Drosophila melanogaster: one gene and its partner. The protein of the gene in region 1 interacts with the protein of each later gene in a pairwise test. Each region holds a gene or a part of one and is shown on either strand. Other genes may lie near its edges.

Evidence for each region.
Region 2: the proteins of CG11790 (region 1) and CG3397 interact in a two-hybrid assay, tested with the Drosophila melanogaster proteins (one large-scale study listed by BioGRID).

The regions. Positions count from the first base shown.
Region 1 is NT_033777.3:25,044,003-25,050,998, forward strand, and holds CG11790 (uncharacterized protein), read left to right. Parts: upstream 1-3,703; 5' UTR 3,704-3,783; coding exon 3,784-3,916; exon of another isoform or gene 3,917-4,022; coding exon 4,023-4,347; intron 4,348-4,439; coding exon 4,440-4,601; intron 4,602-4,662; coding exon 4,663-4,788; intron 4,789-4,876; coding exon of another isoform or gene 4,877-4,886; exon of another isoform or gene 4,887-4,906; intron 4,907-5,269; coding exon 5,270-5,432; 3' UTR 5,433-5,453; downstream 5,454-6,996. Other genes in the region: 5PtaseI (inositol polyphosphate-5-phosphatase type I), read right to left, coding at 1-51, 108-287, 524-754, 970-1,047; CG11786 (uncharacterized protein), read left to right, coding at 2,371-2,479, 2,734-3,213, 3,279-3,358.
Region 2 is NT_033777.3:11,980,294-11,987,289, forward strand, and holds CG3397 (uncharacterized protein), read right to left. Parts: upstream 4,249-6,996; 5' UTR 4,216-4,248; coding exon 3,787-4,215; intron 3,732-3,786; coding exon 3,193-3,731; intron 2,991-3,192; coding exon 2,930-2,990; 3' UTR 2,805-2,929; downstream 1-2,804. Other genes in the region: CG18547 (uncharacterized protein), read right to left, coding at 1-51; mfas (midline fasciclin), read right to left, coding at 4,706-5,194, 5,256-5,938, 6,011-6,479, 6,542-6,827, 6,892-6,996.

The DNA of each region.
Region 1 (6,996 bases):
GCCATTGATTTCCCATCGGGTTCGCATAAAACCTTTTCGGGACCATTTACACTGAATAGAATATAGTAAGAATATGAACATAACTTCATGAATTGCATCAAACCTACCTCCGGAAAGAAGTGCTGTGGGAACTTGGACTTTTCTTTGGTAGCAATAGTTTCAATATTTCCGGAATAGATATGTTTATCCTTAACATCTTGAAGACTTTCTTCCCAGCTGTGAGTTAGGAAGTTCCAGATCTTCAGAGAAGCAACATCCTTATGCACAAAGTAAAGACTTCCAAGGGCCTAAAAATAATAATACAATAATGTGGGTATTTGTTTTAACCGGATATAACATTTTTGTATGTTGATATGTGAATTCAAGAGACTCATTCATCATGACTAAGCCCAGTGACTTAATTCATATTTTTTAAAAGGCTTTCGTCGCAATTTTAATTGAACAATAAGTGCGTAACGCCTCAGTTCATCCGAATTGGGTTTTTATGTGCCGATTGACCTAGAAACACGATTCACCCACCCACCGTAAAGTGCTCGGCCGATTTGAAGTCCTCGTCCATGAAGATGTGTACGCAGGTGAAGTCGCCCATTTCGGGAGCATCGCAGAGGCACCTGATGAACTCCTGGACGTACTCCATGGACTTCTCGTACGTCTTGCCGCCCACCTCCTGTAGGTGGAGGGCCAGGAAACGGGGCTGTGCGACGGCGATCTTTGCAAGAAATTCGCTTAGCCATAGCTGCAGAAGCCTCTCCGGCTGCAAATTGGATTGGAAATTCGATTATCGGCGGGCGCTGAATGTGCTGAATACCAATTTGTTTGGGAACTCGGATTCGGATATACATATCTATGTATGTCACTGGGCCCATACATAAATATGCGATTTACGCATCGTGTATGTATGGGCCGTACGTAAACATGTATACTTCCTAGCCCTGTGGACATGGCGCATCCGTTCCAACGGCCACTTACGTCCTCAAATAGGCTGCCAACGTTTGCCGTGACCAGAAACACATCCGTGCTGGACGCGTCTTCCTGTGCTGACTCCATTTGATCCCACTTTCGCCTGCGATGCAACAATTTTATTCACTTTTTATCAGCGTTCCAATTGTAAATACTAATTGAGTCAAGGCGCAGTGTGACCATACCGCCTGGCGAAAACTAGGCCATTTCGATTATTAGCTTTTAAGTGACCGTAATCGTTTATATTTCAAATATATTTATGCATATCTCTGCAGTTTTTTAATTAAACTTATTTATTTCGTTTACATTGAATAATACAATACCCCTCACGAATTTAAATAGTTAAGCTTCATTTCTTTCATATTTTGTTAACTTTAGGTTTCAGAATCGTAATTAGGTCACTTCCGGCAGTGACCGAGATAAAAGTAACGGTAATATCATGAGTACAATGGCCAGTTAAAAGTAGATATAAACAATTAAATGGCACAGGGAATAGAAATTAATGGGTTTGGACAAAGCAATAACATTGAAACTTGCAGGTTTCTAATGTTTTACAGTTCTTTGATCCTTAATATTATTATTTATCCTATTATCTTGACTAAGTTTTTGAATTTCAGTGTAACTGCAATTAAATGCGTATAAATGCAGCTCGAAATTAACAATTCATGCGGTGTGGTGGCACATTAAGCAATTTGGTGATCCGTTGTCTATATTATAAGCATATCCGCCGACATAAAACTATTAAGGCCCATTAAGACCTACGGTGTACATCATCTTTTCATTCAAACAGCTTACAGTAGTTACTGCGTACTGCGTATGACGGTTTCAATCTTTGACAGAATTCCTAAGTATCTTCAAAAGTATTACAACCGCAACACTTGTCCGAAATGTCTTCAATTTGTGTCACTTATGCAAATCCGTAATTCCCACAAAACGGGTTTAACAATTTGTCAAAAATTCGATGTCAAATGCCCAAATGAAACACAAACTGGCAAACACTATATAATATAGGCGGTTTGCTATTTCCAGGCTTTTTGAAAGTTGGGTAGTGAAAGTTGTATTGAACTCTGTGCGTCTCTTTCGAAATCTCCAACACAATCCAAGCGATTGCACGTAGCATGAATACTGAACAGCACGTGAGACGGTAGCCACATTTCTTGCAAGAATACACAAGTGAATTCAATTCCTCCACTCCGGCTCCACGCTGCACATATATGCCCTATAAGTGGGGGCCAAGCCTTACGGGGGAAATGCGATGGCAGTTATAAATACTTGCACACACGTCCGTCCACCTGATATTTTCTTTGCCACAATGTTTTCGGCCCCAAATTTATAAAGAGACGGACGGCAGGCAAACCGTTTATTGTACTTTTAGGAACCGCTTAACTCATATCTCAACGCGATCGCAAAATGCGTACCGAATACCTGGTCGTTCTGATTATATGCACTTCCTGCATTTGCATTAGTGCTGGAGATAGCTATTCCGGGGATATTCAAAGCTCGAACTCATTGGATTTCGGTGTGTGAAAGATAATAGGGATCAAAAGAGATTCTAAAGTGCTGAAAAACCTTATAGTAAAGCAAACTGAAAGTGAAATTAATAATATACACTTACAAATATATGTGTTTCTGTACTATCAATTGGCACTGAGTGCTTAAAACGATAATTCAGTGTACAAACAACTATTCAAATCTTTATGACAGAAGTCATTGGATTAACTTCTTGGATTATCCTTGAATGCTAAACTTATAAGATTCTTTCGCATTTATTAGGCAACGATAGTGGGGGCTACAGCTACAGCTCCCCGCCGAGCAACAGCTACTTGCCTCCAGCCACACCTGCTCCGGAGTACCTGCCTCCGCCGAACAATGGATACCAGTACAATCCGCCGCCGAACAACAACTACCTGCCACCGCCTAACAACAACTATCTGCCTCCTCCTCCTGAATATGGACCGCCAGCTGGCTATCCTTCCTATGGACCACCACCTCCTCCGTTTTACAAGCCAGCTCCGTTCATTCCCTACCATTCGCACGACTCCATTCTGGAAAAGCTTAAGTCCAAGATCAATCTGTATACGCTTGGAAAGATTTTGCTCAAGCTGTTGATATTCAAGAAAATCGTCAAGTTCATCGGCCTGATTTTCTTGCTCTTGGTTCTGCCGAAGCTGAAAAACATTTTCAAGGATGATATGATGTCTGGATCTGGTGAGAGCGATGGCATGGAAAGCAAACTTGTAGAGACAGATAAGGGTAAGGTGTTTCTATATAGTGCTTTAAGCATTAATTATTAATATTTATATTTCTCCCTTTTACAGATAAACTAGCCCAACAAATTGAGAACCTATACGATTTTGTAATAAACTCGATAGAAAGTTTTGAAGGAAGAAGTTCGTAGATCAATACCAAAATTAGTTATAAATGCATTGTTACAAATTGTATTACACTTGATTATTTATTTGTTAAAGTCTTATAAATAAAAGTATTTCGTATTTTACTCTTGTGTTTGAACTTGGGGCATATCATTGATTCAGACTGGTTCTTAAATCAATCCAACATCCTGATGGCTTGATACGCTTAATTAGGTTCTTGAACAGTACTCATTAAGTAGTCGGCCTATCTACCAGAATATTAGCCAAGGTACACATTTGTACCTGCAAACGTACCTAGGTACGAAAGCTGTCACCTTGCGCATCACTGGCGACGATACATTTCGCCGACTATCGATAGACGGGCTCACTCTGCGTCCGCATCCAAGTTGCGATCGGATTCATTCGCATTCGCCAGTGATCAACTCCGCTGCTGCAGATCCACAGCCAAAAAATGCTGCACATAGTATCGGTTGTTATTATAGCCCTGAGTCTGGGCTGTGCCGTTGGCCAGGATTTGCGGCGTGTGGACGACACCGAGTTGATTCAACTCCTGACCGGCAGCAGCAATGTGGTTGTCCTATTCAGTGAGTATTGGTAGGAAAGTCAGCCAGAGAAATCCAGCCTACGTGTCCACTGTGCATATGGAGGATGGTACACCGGTTACTGGCTAACGAGCACACTTAATTGCAGACAAAAACAATTGCCAGCGCTGCGTGGAATATGAGAACATGGTGACCAAGATACGTGCCCAGCTGGAGGAGACCTTGTCGGCCATTGTGGTCCAGTCGGTGGACAGCAACCTGGTATCCATCTATGACCCCAGCAAGGAGCCCGCTTTGGTGTTCTTCAGGCGAGGAATACCCATTCTATACCATGGCGAGATCAACGATGACGAAATCCTAGACTTCTTCAATGACAACTTAGAGCCAGCGGTCAAAGAGCTTTCCGACGACAACTTCGAGCACCTGACTCAAGCCTCGTCGGGTGCCACTACCGGGGACTGGTTTATCTTCTTGTAAGCTATATTAGTCATGCGTTGAGGTCGCCATCTAAGCGTCATGAGATGTACATATATGTGCACATATGCTCACCTACACCCACTTCCAGCTCTTCGGCCGAATGTACCGTCTGTCAGCGACTCTATGCCGTTTGGGAGTCTGTGGGCGGAAAGCTAAAGCGAAAGCTGAATATTGCCCGCATGAACAGTTTGGAGTCTGGAATCTCAACTGCTACGCGACTGGGAGTATTGGAAGCACCGGCTTTTATTTTGTAAGCCCTGATCGCTTTGGTTGTGTCCAAGAATAGATTATATAAATTATAATCATTACAGCTTGAGGCAAGGAAAGATGTACAAATATTCAGCCAAGCAATACAGTCCCGAAGCCTTTGTCCAGTTTGCTGAGAAGGGATATACCCAGAGCCATCCTCAACCAGTGCCCGCAATCCCAAGTGCCGTGTAAGTATTCCTCTCATAGCTAAAATGATTTTAAATTCATCCATCGATCGAATTTTAAACTCAAAGTCCGATTATGACCTTTTTATAGGGATTTGTGAGAAACTGATACATGTGTTTAGTAAGTGAGCCAAGATAAAACTTGTAAACCTATTAATAATTACTATTAGTTAACAAATACTGATTCTTTGTCCCCGGTACAAGGTTGCATATAACGCCAGTTTGAGGGTATTCAACATAGACACTGATTCCACCATCGAGCATAAAACAATTGTTAATATCACTCCGTTGATTAATATCGAACCAAATGTTAATCGTAACCGTTGTATATTATCCAGTTTGTACATAAACAATATTACATTAATCAATTATACCCTGGTTAAAACAGTTCCTGGTTTGAGAAGATCGAATTTAATACTACACAACGTTTATCCTAATAACCAATGATCAAATGAGCTAATGTTTTAACTTTCGTGCTTTTCAGAAACGAATTTTTGGGCCCACTGCAAAGTTATTTTGCAGCTGAAAACATAACATCGCTGGCGACTTTGAGTATTTTCGCCTTAGTTGCTCTCTTATTCGTTGGCAAAAAGGTTGCCAAAATATTCAGTTCAGAGCCTGCGAAAACAAAAAATAAGTCGAAATAAAACTAATATAAAGACTAAATGAAACACGACGTTTTTGAATTAGTCGAGTGACAACAATTAGCGGAAAAGTGGGCGCGAAAATTCAACTGCTGCAATTCCTAACGCCACAAAAACTGGCAGCTCTTTTGGCTGGAACGGTGGAAGCGGAACATGCAAATATGGATACCTAATATCGCAAAAGATCCATTGTTCACTGGCGCACAACGCTGACAATACCTATATCCTATCTCTTGATTGCTTTCAATTAATTAGCGGGCAAGCAAACAAAAATATTTAGATCGGCCCATTTAGCAACTGGGCTCGGAGTTCAGGGGCTAACTCGGCTAGCAATCTAGCCAATTGCTTAAGTGCGATGATAGTTTGGCGTGGAACGCTCAAATTAAAGCAGCGTTTCGTTTCGTAAAGCGTGAGATTCGCGATCGTGTTGTTAGGCAGTTTTTTTTTATTTGTTTCGCAGCGGTCATCGTTGGCGTAAGCGTATTCCTCGGAACCTGGATTTTTTGTATCTTGGGGTAAATCACTCAAAACACGCTATTTATACACCCGCTGATACCCAAATACACGCAAATGTACCCGAATTGGTGTTGGTTAAAACACAGTGCTCGCTAAATGTCAGCTGACGTCAGAAGGTCTTGAAAAAAGAGCGAGGAGTACACACGAACACAAAAACGATTACGAATACGAGTGGGACGTATATATGTGTAGTGCGGTATATCGATATCGGTAGATCGAGAGAGAACACTACACTCACACGACACTCACATTCGCATTCGCAGCGACTTTCGATTGAGATTTTGGTTGGCTGTGGCTGTAGTCAAGCGAGCGCACATGAGTCAGATTCGTAGCTTTTGTTTTGTTCAGTCGAGTGCGAGTTCTGTGCGATTCAGATACTCGCTGCCATCCGAACCGAACTGAAGTCCAAGTCGAATCTAATGTGCGTACTTACGTGTAGAACAGTTCAAGAAAATGTGCAGACATTCAACGGTCGCATTTGTGTGGATGTGTGGTTGTAGTGAAGAGTGCCAGCATTAATCGCATTTTTCCCCTGCACGAGCACCACGACTAGAAAATACTCGACACGTCTGTCTGTTTTTCTGCTTTATTGCTTCTACGCTATTCTGCTTTTCCGTTTCGGTTTTCCTCCGCTTGGCCTAGTGAAAAACAACAAATTTGATTATATTGTGTAAGTTATGTCTAGCATTGAAAAGATGAAAAGTGTCATTCCTATAAATACACCACCACCTCGGGAAAGGCACTCGCAATAGAGAAACTGGCCAAAACCCAACAACAAACATAACAAACAAAGGAACCGCTGAATATAACCAAACTTCGGAGTAGGGGCTGAGCTAAAAAGTATAGTGCGCAGCCATCATGACTAACTCACCACCCAAAACGCCAGCCCAATTACAGAAAATCGATATTCTAGTCGCGCTGTAACGCTGCGTAGCTGCTAAATACACAGCTCCCTACCTGCAAACAACCCGAATACAAAAAAAAAAAAAAGAAAACTACGAATAACAAAACAGTCAGGCGAGGCATTAGTATACCGAAAAGCGAAAACCAC
Region 2 (6,996 bases), about 13 Mb from region 1:
CGCCTCATCGTGGAATCCCTTCACATAGGTAGCCGGTAATGTTTGAGACATTTTTAATAATCCGAATATATTGCGCGGTCTGTTGAAATTCGATCGGCAGTCAGAGAACTACTGCCTGCTCAATATAATGGGTATAGTTTATATTCTGAACATCACACATTGCCTCTTATCAAAAAGAGAAATGTTCTGTATTGGAGCGGTTTTAAAGTATTTGAACAAATCTCTTATTTTCTCTTCTCGAATTAAAATTAAGAGAGGGATTGGATATTTTCTTTAAGGGAAAGTAGTCTTTAAGAAAGAGATTCTTCAGAAGAATTCTGTTTTGCAATAAACCAAGTGCAAAGCCTTTAAAGCCCTCTCGACGTCCCATAAAATATACATTTTCAATAATTCAAATGGTTAAAAATGTTCCCTTAATAACTTTTTATTTAAGTGAATTGTATAATCTAAAGTTTATTTTAAATCCGTTCTTTCTGCATTTCCATTGATTTATTGGTTTCTCACTTTAACAACTTAGCCGTGGATAAAGTGGATCCCCAACTGTAGGACTTGGTAAAGACGCTGAAATAAAGACAGAAAAGGAAACCAATGTACGGTGTCGATTAAATAGAGATTCACCATTAACCAGTCTGGCTAGGTTGAGGCCTAGTTCGTGACCGTGATGCAATTGCAGGATTGGTAACACCAAATCCGACTAACCAGTTGTTGGCCAACTTACTTTTCGCGCAAATACTGCAGCACTTCCTGTTCGTGGGAAGTGAGACCGTCGAAGATCGCGTCCAGGTTAATCCGCAGCAGCTTTCGGTTGGGGATGCCGATGAGGAAGGTGGCCGCCCCATCCAGTTGCATCGTATAGTACATGGCCAGCTTTCCCAGCTCCACGTTCCTCTGCTGGCAGATTTCGGCCCCCCGTTTGGCCACGGCCAGGATTTCCTGACTACCGGGATGCGATGCATGTGGTCCAGCGTTTCTCAAGAGTCCCAATGAGTGAGCGGCCGCACAGACAACGCCCACTCCCATTTTCTGGAAGTCCTTCATGTAGCGCAGCAAGGTGTTGTCTAAAAGGGTGTAACGAGCATAGTTGAGCACCACCTGAATGCGACCCTTGCCCCGCTCGGCACACTCCTTCAGCACGTCCACATCGTAGGCGGTGACTCCGATGAATCGAGCCTTTCCCGCCTGGACGTACTCCTCGAGGACGGGTATGGTCTCATTCAGCACTATGTCTAGATTGGGTGCCGCGTCCACGTCATGAACCTGTCATAAGGGCCATATTAGTTCACCAGCTTATAGACGAATCTACCAAACCCACCTGTAGTATGTCCACCCTGTCCAACTGGAGCCGCTCCAGACTCCGCTTCACACTCTCCCGAGCTTTGTCAGCCGAATAGTCAAACATATTCTTCGGATCCAGCCCGTAGCGCGCCACTTTAGTGGCAATATAATAGGCCTCCCGGGGTACATCCTTTAGGGCCTGGCCAAGCAGCACCTCCGATAGAATGGAGCTGTGTCTATATAGTTAATGCCAGATCTAATGGCCTCCTGCACCATAAGGATGCCCTCCTCGCGATCATAGTCATCAAAGAAGAGATTGCAAAGGGGGGAGCCACCTATAGCTAATTTAGACACGTGCAGACCCGTGGATCCGAGTTGGCGGTACTCCATACGACGCACCTTCTCCTCATCGTGGAAACCCTTGACGAAAGTAGCTGGCAGTGATCCCGACATCCTTTTCTGTTCAACTAACAAGTTTGAATGAAAGGAACAACTAAAAAAATCGGGCTTTTATATGATTTGGGGACCAGGTTTTCAGATAAGAACTGTGGGGGTAAATAAGTAATTTTTCACTTTGTTTGAGTGAGTTCCGTAATATAATTGCCCCGATTAGCAAGATTTTCTTATTGATAAGGTGTGGAAGAGAATTCCGGCTCTTTGTTCGCATTATCAACTTAGCTCTCAAACAGTACGATTCTGAAAATCATATTATTGTATATCAGCCACATTTTTTAAGAGAAAAGCGAGCCATAGTTGCAACAACTAGTTGTAGCGATACAATGGGATTTTTGCGGCTTTTTTTCAGTGCCTGTCTAAGGAGCTCTTCAGAGTTAGTGCCAGATTTTTGTTTCGAAATCAAAGCTAAAAAAGAAAATATATTAACTTCTAAATTGCACAACATTTTTATAATATTTTATAAATATAAGTCAAGGCAGCTCACATAAATTGGCCTTGCCCTATATTATTGAATACATAATCGCAACTTCATCCAAAATTTCTAGAACTTTCTGTTTTTTTGTTTTCATTCGAATATATTGCGCGGTCTGTTGAAATTCGATCGGCAGTCAGAGAAGTACTGCCTGCTTAATATTATAAATATAACTTATATTCTGAACAACACAGATTGCCTCTTATCAAAGAGAGAATAGTTCTGTATCGGAGCGGTTTTAACGTGTTTGAACAAATCTTTTATTATCTCTTCTCGAATTAAAATTAAGAGAGGGAGTGGATTTTTTTAAGGGAAAGTAGTCTTAAATGAAAAGCCTCTTCAGAAGTATTCTGTTTTGCAATAAACGGTAGTCGCTTTTGAGAGGCTTTCTTCTCTTGCCTTTCTCATTGGATCTTTTGAGGCAAAGAAAACAAATATTAATCAGCTGAATCAAAGCTGTGTTTGATTATTATCTGTAATCTTAAATGACCTGAACTGTTGGCCCAACTGAACTTGATCTTATCTGGGAATAACTTAATCATAAATTTGCATAAAGTTTGCTTTAGGCCGACTGTTATAAAAAATAAATAGGTTCAAAAATATTCATTTAATATTTTATTTCAGTGAATATTATAATCTAAAGTTTATTTTAAATCCGTTCTCCCTGCATTACCAAAGATTTCTTGGTCTTGGAGCTCAAGTTCGATTGCCCGTCCAAGTGGTCGCTCATTTGAACATGTTAACCGTGGATAAAGTGGAGCCCCAACTGTAGGACTTGGTAAAAACGCTGAAACGAAGACAGAAAAGGAAACCAATGTATTGTAGCGATTGGAATGGAGATTTAACGCTAGCAGTCTGCTCTGGATCGAGCTACCATTAACCAGTTTGGCCAGGCCGAGGCCAAGTTCGTGCCCGTGATGCAATAGCAGGATTGGTAACACCAAATCCGACTTGCACAGTTCGGCGTAACCAGTTGTTGGCCAACTTACTTTTCGCGCAGATACTGCAGCACTTCCTGTTCGTGGGAAGTGAGACCGTCGAAGATCGCGTCCAAGTTAATCCGCAGCAGCTTTCGGTTGGGGATACCGATGAGGAAGGTGGCCGCCCCATCCAGTTGCATTGTATAGTACATGGCCAGCTTTCCAAGCTCAACGTTCCTCTTCTGACAGATTTCGGCTCCCCGTTTGCCCACAGCTAGGAGTTCCGGACTACCAGGATGCCAGGACTGGGGTCCAGCGTTGCTTAGGAGTCCCAGAGAGTGCGCGGCCGCACAGACAACGCCCACGCCCATCTCCTGGAAGGCCTTCATGTGGCGCAGCAAAGTGTTGTCCAACAGGGTGTAGCGGGCATAGTTGAGCACCACCTGGATGCGACCTTTGCCCCGCTCGGCACACTCCTTCAGCACGTCCACATCGTAGGCGGTGACTCCGATGAATCGAGCCTTTCCCGCCTGGACGTACTCCTCGAGGACGGGTATGGTCTCATTCAGCACCATGTCCAGACTAGGTGCCGCATCCACGTCATGAACCTGTCACAAGGTGTTAGTTTATAGACAAATCTATATATTGGTATACCAAACACACCTGTAGTACGTCCACCCTGTCCAACTGGAGCAGCTCCAGACTACGCTTCACACTCTCCCGAGCCTTGGCAGCCGTATAGTCGAACATATTGTTTGGATCCAACTCGTAACGTGCAACTTTAGTTGCTATATAATAGGCCTCCCGGGGCACATCCTTGAGCGCCTGGCCAAGCAGCTCTTCCGATTTGCCTTGGCCATAAAAGGGAGCCGTGTCTATGTAGTTGATACCGGATCTAATGGCTTCCTGCACCGTGAGGATGCCCTCCTCGCGATCGAAGTCATCGGAGAAGAGCTTGGAGAGAGTGGCACCACCCAAAGCAATTTTGGATACTCGCAGACCCGTGGATCCGAGTTGGCGGTACTCCATACGACGCACCTTCTCCTCATCGTGGAAACCCTTGACGAAAGTAGCTGGCAGTGATCCCGACATCCTTTTCGCTTCAATTAACAAGCTTGAATGAATAGAACTCCTAGAAAAATGGCACTTTATAAGTGCATAAAGTGATTTTAACATATGTAGGTATGAGTGAGTTCCAAAATAGATTTGCCTCCCTTAGCAAGCTTCTCTTCGTGATAAGCTGTGGAAGAGAAGGTTCGCTCTTAGTTCTTTATATATATTACTATGTAATTTCGCATTATTAATGTAGCTCTCTGTAAGAATGATTCTAAAAATTGTGATATCATATACCAACCACATTTTTTAAAGAGAAAACCAATTCCCAATTAAGGTAATTCCTTTTAATACCTTGCATGTGAACAATAAGCATAACTCCGATCATGTTTGTTTTAATACTATTTATTTTATTTATCAGAGGAGATTCTGAGCTTTTTGCGGCTTCCAATCAGTTGACAAATCGTTAAGAGTAAATATAAATATCTGCTTTATATATCAATATGCATGAGATGGGGACGAGCACCGCTCAGAAGAAGACATCGAAATCGCCCTGTGGCTGATAGCCAGCTCCGGGCGGGATCAGCTGGGGTCGCTGCTGTTGCTGGCGCTGTGGGCGTGGCACGATGATGTCGTTGATCTCATGGAGAATTCCATTGGTGGCCACCACATCGCACTTGGTGACGCCGGCGTTCTCGATCTTGGGACGACGATCGCGGGTGATACGCAGATGCTGGCCAGAGATGGACTCGATGGAGCGGACAAATGGCCAGTTGGTTGGGATAATGCCGGCACAGCAGACAACATCCTCAACGATATGGGTTTTGACCAAGGCCATGGGATCGGCGGGCTTTGAACCCTCACCGGACTCGTTCAGCTCCTCGAAGATATCGTTCTTTGGCACCAGCAGGGTGAGACTCCTCGAATCGTTGGACAGCAGCTGTGTAAGATTAGCCTTACGAACCAGCTCCAGGAACTTGCTGTAGTTGGGATTAGCCTCCAGCAGCTTAAGCATGTTCTGTGGAATATTTACAAATAAGCATAAGCTTTAAATTCCGTGATAACCTCGTAGAACTCACATTCTTGGGAGGCGCCAAGGCACGATCCACCTGGTGGAGAACGGATCCGCAGCTCTCGTCATCGAAGTGCACCAAACGGGCACAGTTTACCGTTGCCCGGTTCATCACGTCCGAGAAGAGAGCATGGGTGGAGTACAGGTTCAGACGCACACTAGATCCAGCAACCGTGGGCAGGGACTTCTCCGACAGGTCACAGGTCTTGATCATGGGCTTGACCACATGGTAGTTAAGGAACTCCAGCAGATCCAAGTTATGATTCAGCAGCTCCGGCTGTTCCTTGAGCATGCGAGCCCATTCCGTATTCTGCAGAGCCTTGTCAGTTGGTGCAAAGATGGTCACGTTGTCCAGATCGTCGAACTGATCATCGTAGCCGGAGGCCTCCAGCAATCGCTGGAAGATGGTCAGGTTCTTTTGCGACATCAGCGAGGTCATGGGCAGAGCCGATTCGGTGGGCAGGATGGTGTCGATTACGTGCAGCACACCATTGGTGCCCATGATATCGGCATCAATGATTTTGGCCAAGTTATTGATGTAGATGGGAGTCGGTCCAGTCTGATTCGCAGCGCGGTGGGTTCGGTTGAGGAGCAGGGGTTCTCCCAGTAGATTGTAGGCCGTCGTCTTGGCACCCGGAACAGTGGCCAGCGAGCAGAAGGTGAGGTCCAGCAAATGGTTCTTCAGGATGTCTACCGGATAAATGGGAATCATATTATATTAGTTAGTTAGCTGCTTGTGGATAAGTTTCCAGACCAACTCACTGGAGGCACAACCGCGACCTTCCTTGAGGGCTCGACGCAGATGAGGTTCCAACTTGTCGAAGGCGGCATCGGTGGGCACAAAGATGGTCACTGGCTTGTCATCCTCTAGCATGGCGCTCAGGTTGGTCTTCTCCAGAACGGTGCGCATAATGGACATATCCGCACGCTCCCTGATGATATCCATAAGGTTCTTGGTCAGCGGCTTCAGGACTCCGCCCAGAGTGTGGACAAGGGCCTGCTCCGAGAGCTTGTCGTGCTTCTCGATGGGCACACAGTTGGCGGCAAAGCGGTAGGGTTCCAGGCCCAAAGCCGCAGGCAGCTGGTAGCTGTTGATGCGGATCTTCTGGTCAGGCAGCTCCGTCTGCAGAAGCTTCTCATTGGGCACATCCTCCAGCTGAACTTCGCCGAGAACAGCGTGCAGTTTGTAGATGGATGGCTTGGAAGCCTCGGCCTTGGCATCTTCCACATTCTGTTGTACGCAAAGAATTCTCATTTATTTACATGAATTTTAGTAACCAAAGGCATGCTCACATTCTCCTGCTGATGATGACCACGGTACTCCATGAAGGCGGCGTCGTTGGGCACGAAGAGGGTCACCTTCTTGCCACTGCCTGCTCCGAGCATATCGGCCAGCTCACCGGCGGTGCGTGCACTCTCCAGGAACTGCTTGGCACCCATGTCACTGGCCGTGGCCTCCACGTCCTTGATGTCGATCTTCTCGCAGGGCGTTGTGAAGTCAGCGTTTCTGGGGCGTCCATATCCATAGCAGCACTGGCGGGTCAGCGTCAGCGTTTTCTTCTTGCCATTTTGATTCACGCTGCAGGGGATAAAGTGTTCAATCAATTGGATGAGATTAGGTAATCCTACTGTAATCTGCTTACATCTTGGTGCAGACGTGCTTGTTGGGCTTCTCGGCGCAGGAGTTAACGCTGAACTGGAACTGGCCAAAGAGTGGGGATCGCACCACGTTGGTAACGCCATCACGT